Linked DNA regions of Sus scrofa. The protein of the gene in region 1 interacts with the protein of each later gene in a pairwise test. Links are inferred from orthologs where the notes say so. Each region holds a gene or a part of one and is shown in the gene's direction. Other genes may lie near its edges.

Region 1 (3,601 bases):
CCAGGGCCAGGCCCATGTAGGCATCCAGCAACTGATGCTTGAGATGCCTGCTGTGTGACAGCCACGGACACCATGCATCATTAGATTTGCCCTTGTCTTTGCCCTTCTTGACTGTTCTGTGCCCAGTCTTGGGCCATAGCCAGGCTTGTGGTGGGCTCATGAAGGTGAGCAGATTCCAGGAGGCCCTTGCAGCACTCTGGAGAGTTAAGACCTCGTGGCTGCTCTAGTTTATTTCTGCGGGCTGTTGATCAGATGTTCCTGAGCTTCCCCTCAGGGGCCCAGGGTGAGGTCAAGGCACCCACTCACCTCCATGCACCTGTCCCTCCCTCCCCTCACAGTATGTCATCAAGACAGTGGAGGTGGAGTCGTCCAAGACCAAGCAGGCCCTCAATGAGTCCCAGGCCCGGAACCAGCACCTGCAGGAGCAGGTGGCCATGCAGAGGCAGGTGCTGAAGGAGATGGAACAGCAGCTGCAGAGCTCGCATCAGCTGACTGCACAGCTCCGGGCACAGGTGTGTGGCACTTGCAAGGGGGCACCGGTCTATCTGGGCAGCATGTGTGTGCCCCACCCAGTGCCACAGGCTGGCCTTTGGCACAGTGCAGCAGCCCAGCACTTGGGGTCCGACACACCCAAGATTCAGTCCCTCCTTTCCCTGCTGGCTGTGTGACCAAGGGCAGGTTTTTGTTTCCATACCTATAAAATGATCTGATCACGGAACCCACCTCCCGGTGGGGCTTGACCTAATCACAAGATTCGCTTAGGGCCTGGCACACACTCTTAGAAGGGTGCTCTAGTCAGTTTTATAACAAATGGAGTTCCCGCTGTGGCTCAACAGGCTCGGTGGTGTATTGGGAGTGTTGGGACACAGGTTCAATCCCCAGCCGGCACAGTGGGTTAAGTAGCGGCATTGTGGCAGCTGCAGCTTAGGTCACAACTGTGGCTCAGATCTGATCCCTGGCCTTCCCATATGCTGCTGGGTGGCCAAAAATAATAATAATAATAATTAAAAAAATATATATAACAAATGCTCTGCCTTACTGTCCGGGGGCCTGATCTGTTACGGGCTGGGACCCAGGCTGATGCTGGCCTAGGTCGGGAAGTAGCTGCATGGAGCGCCCAGCCCCTTCTGGGTGAGACGCCACCCTGCCCCACCTGTGTGTGCGTGTCTGTGTGTGAGGGGCGGGGCTTCCTCCCTTCCCGGGCTGGCAGCGCTGAGCTTCCCGCCCTGGCCTCAGATTGCCATGTACGAGTCAGAGCTGGAGCGGGCGCACGGGCAGATGCTGGAGGAGATGCAGTCCCTGGAGGAGGACAAGAACCGGGCCATCGAGGAGGCCTTTGCCAGAGCCCAGGTGGAGATGAAGGCCGTGCACGAGAATCTGGCAGGTGAGCCGGTCGGTGGCACCTTAGCCATTCCCACGCCACGGCCCTTCGCCCTGTCTGCCGCACACCCCTTGTATCCCCATAGGTGTCCGGACCAACCTGCTGACATTGCAGCCAGCACTGCGGACCCTGACCAACGACTACAATGGACTGAAGCGCCAGGTGCGCGGCTTCCCACTGCTGCTGCAGGAGGCGCTCAAGAGCGTCAAGGCCGAGGTGAGTGGGGGCTGTGGTGGTGGAGCTGAGAGAGGCTCTGGAGCCCCTGGTGGGACGCAGCATCCACCCAGTGCTCCCTTCCAAAACTTAGAGAAGCCCCAGGCAGTAGCTCCCCTCTGCACATCCTCAGACCATTTGAAACAGTCTAGGCGTTCCTGCTGTGGCTCAGTGGGTTAAGGATCCAGCTGCAGGAGTTCCTGTGGTGGCTCAGGAGAAATGAATCCAACTAGGATCTATGAGGATGCTGGTTAGATTCCTGGCCTCACTCAGTGGGTTAAGGATCTGGCATTGCTGTGAGTTGTGGTGTAGGTTGCATACGTGGCTCAGACCAGCAACTGTAGCTCAGATTCGACCCCTAGCCTGGAAACCTCTATATGGCACCGGTGTGGCCCTAAAAAGCAGAAAAAAAAAAAAAAAAAAAAAAAAAGCAAGGATCAAACCATCCAATCCAATCCATCAGCTCTGGTCACTGTGGAGGTTCAGGTTCCATTCCCTGCCTGGCATACAGTGGGTTAAAGGTTGAAGGATCCTGTGGTGCCCAGAACAGTGGCAGTAGGTCACAGGTGCAGCTGGGATTCAATCCCAGGCCTAGGAACTTCCATATGTTGCAGACGTGGCCATTGAAAAAACAAAACACAAAAAAAACAGCAACCTGGTTGGGGCATAGGTCTTTGGGTATTTGTCTTGTCATGACTCTTTGAACCAAACCTGTCACATGTATCTCTATATCCCATACGTGCTATGCATATCTTTATATCTCAAGTATGCTACATATAGTCTTACATCTGTTAGACTTAATTTTCTCAAGCTGTTCTTGTGCAGTATGAGAATAGCCAATGTCTCTTAAGTGCCTCCTACGTGCTGAGCCTTTTATAGCCATCAGCTCCTTGAATGTGTATGACAGCTCTGTGGGGTAGAGAGACTGATATATTTTGGGAATTGAAAATAGTTCTCCTTTAAAAAATTATGTCAGTAATACATGGACTTGTTGAAAGTTCAGCCCCCGCAGAAGGGTATCAGACGGAAAGGGGAAAGGCCTTTCTCTGCCACCCAGCCTGCTCCCCAAAGGACACCTGTCTCCCAGCATTTTCCCTGAAAGGTGTTCTGAGCCTGATGAAAACTACTGACATAGGTATATGTATATATGCACTTTCTTTTCACTCAGCAAAGGGGAACAGGTGGACGTGTGTGTATGTGTATACATGTGTGTACAGGTGGACGTGTGGTCGGCATCTTGTTTCTTTTCCCTGTGAAGTGTAACTTGGAGATAGATCTTTACCTTCCAGCGCCTATAGACCCATGAGTTAGATGTTATCCCCATTTGACAGATGAGAAAATTGAGGCTCGAAGACATTGAGCCAGTTGCTTCCTGTCCTCCAGCTCCTGAGGGGACAGCTGGGATTTGGGTCCTGCCGAATCATGTAGTCGAGTGCTGGTGCTGTGGAGTGAGGTTGAGGGCTGAGTCCCAGCTCTTTGCCCATCATCAGCAGGGCAACCTTGAGATTGGCTTAGCCTTTCTGGGGCTCAGTTTCTTCCTCTGTAAAATGGGCTTGGAAGCACTACCTACCCGAGGGGTTATTGGGAAATTGGGGAAATGTGCTGTGTGACAGCACATGTCAAGTACTCAGCCCAGGGTGGGAGGCAGTGAGCAGCCTATCAGGCAGGTGAAGCTGGTGGAGCTAAACCCCTGAGCTGGCCCCCTGACGGTGCTGCGCATCCCCCACCAGATCGGCCAGGCCATCGAGGAGGTCAACAGCAACAACCAGGAGCTGCTGCGCAAGTACCGCCGGGAGCTGCAGCTGCGCAAGAAGTGCCACAATGAGCTGGTGCGGCTGAAAGGTGACTGCTGGGTGGGCAAGGGGGGACCTAGTGCAGGGGTCCCTGACCTGCCTCCAAGCTGATCAGTGGAGGTGACCCTTCCCCATGGCCCCTAGCACCACTCCTTGGAGCATCCCTTAGGAGCTTTTGTGATTCCCTCTTTGTATACAAGGAAATCAGCACAGG
Region 2 (4,347 bases), about 36 Mb from region 1:
CTACTGTGTCCGATGGTGTTAAAAGAACTGGGACTCCAGGATCCTGACTGAGAAGAGGGGGCCAGGGTTCCCGGTGGAGGAGAGTCTGGGGCTCAGACGCCTGTGTCTCACATTCTCTCCTTCCTGCGCCAGCTCACCCTCTTCTCCACCTGCTCCCCGGCCTCCCGCACATTTCGGGCCTCTACTGTGAATTTCTTTTTCCCCCTGGTGCTTCTCCTGGGTCTGGCCATCTCCGCCGTTCCTGTGCTATATGGCATCTTCGTGTAAGTGTGAGAGGCACCTGCCTCTCTTTCCCTCCCTCTTCCCACTTCCCTCCAAGGTTCTGACTTGTGGCCATCCTGGAGCTCTGCCTGTCTGTCTCTGACTTCAGGATCCCACCTTCTAAGCTGTGTGGTCCATTCCGGGGGCAGTTGTCCATCTGGTCCGAGATCCCTAAGTCTATCGGAAGCCTCCCCGAGACTGCCCAGAATTTTCTCTTCTTCCTGGGGACCCAGGCATTTGCTGTGCCCCTTCTGCTGTTATCCAGGTGAGGGCCCCAGACTCCTGCATCCGGGTTTGAACGTGTGATCTGGGGTCCTACTTCCGAGAACGGAGGGGGCTGGGGGCCCAAACTTCTGGGTCTGCGGGAAGAAGGGAACTGGGATACTAGACTTCTTGAGTCTGAAGGAGGTCCGGGCCCCTGGTTTCTAAAAGAGTCTTACGTCGAAGATACACTAAGCGTGTTTGGGGAGTGGCTTTCATTCCGTCTCCTCTAGCATCCTGATGGCATATACTGTGGCCCTGGCTAACTCATATGGACGCCTCATCTCTGAGCTCAAACGCCAGATAGAGACGGTGAGTCAGGCCGGGTCCTTGGCAAGGGGTCCCGGGGAATCTAGAGATCTGTCTCACCTCCACCTCTCTTTACCCTTTACCCCAGGAGGCACAGAATAAAGTCTTCCTGGCACAGCGCGCTGTGGCACTGAGCTCGGCCAACGGAGCTCTTTGACCTTCCCAGCCTGGTTCAGGGTGACGACGTCTCGCTTTCAGACAGAGACCCACCCCCAGATCCTTTGAAGGTCTCGGCCGCGTCGTTTGGAAAATGAAAGAACTGGAGAACATCCCATGCCTTTCCAGCCCTGGGGGTCGCTGCCTCTCCAGTGAACCCCTTTCTTGTATCAATAAACACAACGGAGGCTGCTGAACGCTTTTTGAAACTTGTGTCCGGAAGCCGGGGGCAAGACTTCAGCGAGACAGAAGCCAATCAAATGCGTTGGCCGGGGAGGGTTGGTGTGGAGGGCATTTCCTCGAGAACACCTGGTGGGCGTGTCAGCCAATCAGCGGCTGCGTTCGGCAGCGTCAGGGCGGGGACACTTGTGATGGACTCGGGATCTTCAGGAGAGGCCGTCGCTGGGCGACCGCACGCGCGATGCTCCGCGATGGGAGGTGGGGGTCTCAGCCAATCAGCCTTTGCTACGGACCCGGGGGGGCGTGCCAAGTAGTCTAGGACCAATCCGTGACCGAGGCAGAAACAACAGGGAGGGGCCATCCTCCTGCCAATCGGAAGTGCTAGGAGGCGGGCCTGCCAGTTCGCGGACAGCTACGGCGCCATGAATATCCTACCCAAGAAGAGCTGGCACGTCCGGAACAAGGACAATGTGGCCCGCGTGCGGCGTGACGAGGCCCAAGCCCGGGAGGAAGAGAAAGAGCGTGAGCGGAGGGTGCTTCTCGCTCAGCAAGAGGTAAGCACCGAGCCCGGCCGGGGCTCCGGGGCTGAGCGCGCAGGCTCCTCGGGAGGGACCGGAAGCGGTGCGGCGCGCAGGCGCAGGGCACACCGTGGGGAATTTGGGGCTGGGTGCTTTGGAAGTATCTTCTCCTAGTGCTTTGATTAGCTCTCCTTGAACTCTCGCCGCTCTTGCTCTTCCCCCGCTCCTGTACTTCTCGAGGCCATAGTAGGAGCTCATGAAAAAACGAAGCCCTGAGTAGTTCAAGGAAACCCGGGCTACTTTTCAGTTTGCCTGCGCAAAGTCCCCATTTAGTGAGCGCCTGCTGCAGAACGCTTGACTTGCAAAATATCTCAAGCACCGTTCATTCTTAGAGGAGGCGCTATCATTTCTATTTTGCAGAGGGGTGAGATGCCTTCAGAGAGGAGGCCACAGCGAAATGACAGTGGAACAAGGCAATTCAGTTTTATCGGGCGAGCCCTTTGCCTGCACTGCCGGCCACACAGAAACACCAGAGGCAGTCTTTGTAACTCCTCACCTGTTTGATTTACACCTCACTTCCAGTCCTTTAGCTAATTTGGTGGTCAGCACTGGCTGGGGGATAGTTAGGGCTTTTAAAATTCTCATTTATCACTAGAAATTGCAAACCAACCGGGGATAGTGACTCGAAGCCCAACCTGGAATTCAGATCACCTGTTCTAATACATGTTTTGGTTGCCTTCATAGCGGTTTTTCTGTTTGTTTTTTTTTGGCAGTGCCCACCGCATGTGGGAGTTCCCAGGCCAGGGACTGAACCTGAGCCTTAGCAGCGACTTGAGCTGCTGCAGTGACAAGGCGGGGTCCTTAACCCGCTGCGTCACAAGGGAACTCCATTAATAGCTGTTTTTATTGTGTCACTGGAAATTCGGAATCCCTCTGGTTTTCTGTTTGAAAGGTAGCTTGCAAACCCAGATATTGCCTTATTTCTCCACCTTTTCTCGAAGCTGGGGCAGGTGCCTTTCCTGGCTCCGAGTGCCTCTGCTCCCTTCCTTACAGCCCCCGTCTGTGGTTGGCACTAGATTCACTGTTCCTTGAATCACATCTAGGTTCTGAATATTCTGCCTGTAACTTTCTTTTCCCCCAGGCCCGCACGGAATTCCTGCGGAAGAAAGCTAGGCATCAGAACTCACTGCCTGCGCTTGAAGCAGCAGAAGCAGGAGCCCCAAGGTCTGGCCCTGTGGATCTGTTTCGGGAGCTGCTAGAGGAAGGGAAAGGCTTGAGCAGAGGCAATAAAGAGTACGAAGAAGAGAAGCGACAAGAGAAAGTAAGTTGGTCCTGCCCTCTCCATCAGTCATGGATGGAGCTGGGGCTGGGGGAGCACCTTGCTTTCAGGTGTGACTGAGGGGTATTTAGGGACACAGAAGGAATCATATAGCTAATTTAGAGAACTCTTAAGAGTAATGAGGAAGTCCCTTTGTGGCTCATCAGTTAACGAACCCGACCAGGATCCATGAGGATGTGGGTTCCATCCTTGGCCTCGCTCAGTGGGTTAAGGGTCCGTTGTTGCTGTGAGCTGTAGTCTGGGTCGCAGACGCGGCTTGGATCCCCCATTGCTGCGGCTGTGGCGTAGGCAATGTGGGAAGACCCCTAGCCTGGGAACTTCCATATGCTAAGGGTGCGGCCTTAAAATAAAAAAGAAGAGTACTGAAACATAGCAGTCAAGAGAAGTTGGTTACTGTCGGGGTGCTAAGTACAAACCTGTCAGGTCTCTAACCTGGTGTCCAGATGTATAGATATCTGGGGAGTGTTAAGGAGCTTTGATTTTATTTTTTTTTAAATTTTTAAAATTATAGTTGATTTACAATGTTCTGTCAATTTCTGCTTTTCAGTAAAGTGACCCAGTTAAACATATATACATGTGTGTGTACATATATATATACATTCTTTTTCTCACATTATCCTCCGTCATGTTCCAGCACAAGTGACTAGACATAGTTCCCTGTGCTGTGCGGCAGGATCTCATTCTCTCTCCACTCCCACTCCCTTGGCAACAAGTCTCTTCTCCAAGTCCATGAGTTTGTTTCTTTTCTGTAGAAAGGTTCATTTGTGCCACGTATTAGATTCCAGATATAAGTGATAATGTATGGCATTTGTTTTTCTCTTTCTGATTTACTTCACTTAGTATGAGAGTCTCTTGTTCCATCCATGTTGCTGCAAATAGCATTATTTTGTTCTTTTTTATGGCTGAGTAGTATTCCATTGTGCATATGTGCTACGTCTTCTTCATCCATTGTCTGTGGATGGACATTTAGATTGTTTCCACGTCTTGGCTGTTGTGAATAGTGGTGCAGTGAACATACAGGTGCGTGTGTCTTTTTCAGTGAAAGTTTGTCTGAATATATGCCCAAGAGTGGGATTGCTGGGTCATACCGTACTACTATATCTGGTTTTCTGAGGTACCTCCCTACTGCTTTCCACAGTGGTTGGACTGATTTACGTGTAGGAGGGTACCCCTTTCTCCACACCCTCTCCAGCATTTGTTTGTAGATTTCCTAATTATGGCCATTCTGAACAGTGTGAGGTGGCACCTCAGAGTAGTTTTGATTTGCGTTTTCCTAATAATTAGTGATGCTGAGCATTGTTTCATGTGCCTGTTGGCCATCTG
Region 3 (4,032 bases), on another chromosome or scaffold:
TTTCGGACTGTATCTGTTCTGTATTATCAGAGTGAAACGGGTGTAAGAACCACACGGCTGTTTGCTGTCTGTCCCAGAACGAGAGGTCTCCGGGGCTGAGTTCTGCTCCCGGGAGGTGCGCTCCGCGCTCGGGGCGGTAGCAGCAGCTTCCCTCTGAAAAGCAGCCACCTGCATGGCTTGTTGAAATCATCAGGTTGGGTGCTCCACGGGTGTAAAAAGTGGGAAAGGGGGTTTTAATGCGATGGAGTTGGCGGTGTGGAGTAGGAATTTAGGAGTGAAAAAGAAACAGGCAGCGTGTGACAATCTTAAGTTCCCCTCTGCAGAGCTTGCCGCTGCCTCTGCAAGTGGGTTTCTCTTCGGCTTAGTTTCAAACCCATTCTCTCCTCCACCAACACGCTTCAACATGCTCGAAGTATTCGAGGCTTCATTTCCCAGAAATAAATGAGAAAAATCTAGGAACACTAGATAGATATGAACACTAGGTTGATATGAAATGTTCTAATAGTTTAGACATGCTAAAACCAACAGCTGCAGTGCCGCAGTTTCCCGTGTGTGTGTGTGTGTGTGTGTGTGTGTGTGTGTAGAAGCACACAAAAGAAAAAAAAAATAACCAGGAGAAAGGGATAAAGGGACATGAAGAAAGTGCCAGAAACAGCGACAAAGAATTATAAAACTTTCCTCCATGTATTCCGCATTCATACAGTCTTGGAAAATCATTTGTCTTTCCAATACCCCAAGGCATGGCACTGCCACCATTAACACTGGGGAGGGGGGGAAGGGGGATGATGACCCTTGGTGGGGAAGGGGCGAGTTGGGGGAGGAGAGGAGGGTGCCTCTGAGGTGTAGGGATATGGAAATCTAAGGTGTCAGTAGGGAGTGGGAACCTGTTATTGGGGACACATTCGAATCCGATCAAAGCATAAGTAGGATGGGGTGGGAATAGGAAAAGGAAATGAGTTAGGGGTTACAGCGTCTCACAGAAAACCGAGGGCCTCAGTGAAAAGTGCAAAGAACGAGAGCCGCAGCATCCCCGTGGCCTGTGGCTCGCCCCCGCCTTCCTTTTGCGCAGAATCCTCCCCTTGGCTGCAGCATAGCGCTGCCCCCACCGGCCAGGCGCGCCGTGATCGATCGCAGGCTGCGTCAGAATCCTCCCCGAGTATAAATAGGGGTGGCAGGACCGCGCCGAGCCGCACACAGCCATCCATCCTCCCCTCTCCCTCTCTCCCCTGTTCTCTCTAGGCCCCCATCTCCCCTGCCGGGCAGAGGGGCACCGACCGCCACCATGAGTTCCTTCAGCTACGAGCCGTACTACTCGACCTCCTACAAACGCCGCTATGTGGAGACGCCCCGGGTGCACATCTCCAGCGTGCGCAGCGGCTACAGCACCGCGCGCTCTGCTTACTCCAGCTACTCCGCGCCCGTCTCCTCCTCGCTGTCCGTGCGCCGCAGCTACTCCTCCAGCTCCGGCTCCTTGATGCCCAGTCTCGAGAACCTCGACCTGAGCCAGGTAGCCGCCATCAGCAACGACCTCAAGTCGATCCGCACACAGGAGAAGGCGCAGCTGCAGGACCTCAACGACCGCTTTGCCAGCTTCATCGAGCGCGTGCACGAGTTGGAGCAGCAGAACAAGGTCCTGGAAGCCGAGCTGCTGGTGCTGCGCCAGAAGCACTCCGAGCCGTCCCGCTTCCGGGCGCTGTACGAGCAGGAGATCCGTGACCTGCGCCTGGCGGCGGAAGACGCCACCAACGAGAAGCAGGCGCTCCAGGGCGAGCGCGAGGGGCTGGAGGAGACTCTGCGCAACCTGCAAGCGCGCTACGAAGAGGAGGTGCTGAGCCGCGAGGACGCCGAGGGCCGGCTGATGGAAGCGCGCAAAGGGGCCGACGAGGCGGCTCTCGCCCGCGCCGAGCTCGAAAAGCGCATTGACAGTCTGATGGACGAAATCGCCTTTCTGAAGAAAGTGCACGAAGAGGAGATCGCCGAGCTGCAGGCTCAGATCCAGTACGCGCAGATCTCCGTGGAGATGGATGTGTCCTCCAAGCCCGACCTCTCCGCCGCGCTCAAGGACATCCGCGCCCAGTATGAGAAGCTGGCCGCCAAGAACATGCAGAACGCCGAAGAGTGGTTCAAGAGCCGCTTCACGGTGCTGACCGAGAGCGCCGCCAAGAACACCGATGCGGTGCGCGCAGCCAAGGACGAGGTGTCCGAGAGCCGCCGACTGCTCAAGGCCAAGACCCTGGAGATCGAAGCCTGCCGGGGCATGAACGAAGCGCTGGAGAAGCAGCTGCAGGAGCTGGAGGACAAGCAGAACGCCGACATTAGTGCTATGCAGGTCAGGCACAGGGCAAAGCACAGTGGGGGCGGGAGGGGGCTGCAGAGTCGAGTTAGAATTGGGGTTGGGGGGAGAGTTTAAGGCGAGCCTAGAAAGTGGAGATCAGAGATGAGGCATCTGCATTCAGCTCTTAGGGGGTAGAACTTGGCTCCTGGGAGGCTGTGGGAGGGGGTGGGGGCGCAACTGCAGTCCGCAAAGCTGTGCTTGGTGCAGCCGAATTTCTGTTCTGCATAAACCTGCCCAGGCCTGCAGGGGGTTGGGTGGGGTGGGGAAAGGTTGGAAGCTGGGCGTTGCCTCTGGCCTGCTTCTGCTGTTCTGCGTTCACAAGTGGCTTTACTGCACAGATTGAACCATCTGATTAATAAATACAGCAAAGAGCTCTCATTAGTTCTGAAGGGTAACTGTGACCAGCAGCTTTCTTAGTTTTACCAACCACTTCCTTCCCTTAGCAGGTAGACAGGAATACAGTCAAAATTGTAGCAGGTAATCATGGTCACAGTAAAACATTTATTTTTTAAGGACCTCCAGCTTCAGGGGAGGAGAAAAAATAATATAGAGACATAAAAAATATTTTGGATAAATTTTTAAAATCTCCAATTTAGATACTTTATTCTATGAACAGGTGGATTGCTTATATGTAATCTGGTTAAAGTTAACCAGTCAATGAGAAACAAAGATTTTTAAAAATCAGTTTAGTTCCTTGCAGGCATTTTATGATGATGGTCAGGCTGTATTATTAACAAACCAGAAATTTTTCTTCTATCAGTTTTTTTAAGCTCTCTCTCTCTCTCTTTTTTTTTTTTTTTGGTTTTCAAGATTTACGAAGCTGGATTTTTAGGCAAGAAAAGAAAGGTTTAAAAAGAGAAAAAGTAGTTATTTTAAGGGAGATTTTTATCTAAGTGTGCACCTTATTTTAATTAAACCTAGGCCTTTGCAGCTATGTTATAGTAAAATGAGAGCAGTAGGAATTTATACTTGGATTTCTTTTTTTCTTTGGTCTTCCAACAGGACACAATTAACAAATTAGAAAACGAACTGAGAACCACAAAGAGTGAAATGGCAAGATACCTGAAGGAATACCAAGACCTTCTCAATGTGAAGATGGCTTTGGACATTGAGATTGCAGCTTACAGGTAAAAATGGAGGGATGAAGGTAGCAGCCCTTCAGCCTTAGGAAGGAAATCAGACTTCTTTTACGGTGAATCAGAAACCTTCAAGAATAGTCTTGAAATAATTGGCTTTAAAATAAAAGGCCCTTTTTGGCCTTTTCCAAGAAGAATTTAATCCTGTAATAATAAGACCTGTTCTTAGCTTCCCATTACATTTCAAGTCTAATAGGCAGGGCTATTTTTAGGCCTTTTTTTTTTTTTTTTCTGGTCTCAATCATAACATCCCCAGTTGTTACGTTTTGATAGTCTTCAACCCTGCTCCTGCCTGCCTTTGCCTTTAAGGGTGGCATTGGTGAGAGGGATGAGTGATGGGCTCAGCACACTTCTGGTTTCATGTTTGTTTGTCCCATCTTCCCTCTGCCTCTGCAGGAAACTCTTGGAAGGTGAGGAGACCCGGCTGAGTTTCACCAGCGTGGGAAGCTTAACCACTGGCTACTCTCAGAGCTCCCAGGTCTTTGGCCGATCTGCCTATGGCGGTTTACAGACCAGCTCCTACCTGATGTCCACCCGCTCCTTCCCATCATACTACACCAG

The links.
Region 2: the proteins of KIFC3 (region 1) and LENG1 interact in binary tests that used the Homo sapiens proteins (3 or more experiments, as listed by UniProt). The two-hybrid records come from large-scale screens. The link is inferred for Sus scrofa from reciprocal best matches to the Homo sapiens genes KIFC3 and LENG1.
Region 3: the proteins of KIFC3 (region 1) and NEFL interact in binary tests that used the Homo sapiens proteins (3 or more experiments, as listed by UniProt). The two-hybrid records come from large-scale screens. The link is inferred for Sus scrofa from reciprocal best matches to the Homo sapiens genes KIFC3 and NEFL.

What each region holds. Positions count from the first base shown.
Region 1 is NC_010448.4:19,668,561-19,672,161, reverse strand, and holds part of KIFC3 (kinesin-like protein KIFC3), read left to right. Parts: intron 1-338; coding exon 339-512; intron 513-1,236; coding exon 1,237-1,384; intron 1,385-1,466; coding exon 1,467-1,597; intron 1,598-3,324; coding exon 3,325-3,436; intron 3,437-3,601. UniProt on the Homo sapiens protein: Minus-end microtubule-dependent motor protein. Involved in apically targeted transport. Required for zonula adherens maintenance.
Region 2 is NC_010448.4:55,969,082-55,973,428, forward strand, and holds the start of LENG1 (leukocyte receptor cluster member 1), read left to right. Parts: upstream 1-1,503; 5' UTR 1,504-1,589; coding exon 1,590-1,721; intron 1,722-2,826; coding exon 2,827-3,006; intron 3,007-4,347. Other genes in the region: TMC4 (transmembrane channel-like protein 4), read left to right, coding at 133-263, 371-526, 756-834, 920-988.
Region 3 is NC_010456.5:8,994,057-8,998,088, reverse strand, and holds the start of NEFL (neurofilament light polypeptide), read left to right. Parts: upstream 1-1,188; 5' UTR 1,189-1,282; coding exon 1,283-2,329; intron 2,330-3,337; coding exon 3,338-3,462; intron 3,463-3,867; coding exon 3,868-4,032. UniProt on the Homo sapiens protein: Neurofilaments usually contain three intermediate filament proteins: NEFL, NEFM, and NEFH which are involved in the maintenance of neuronal caliber.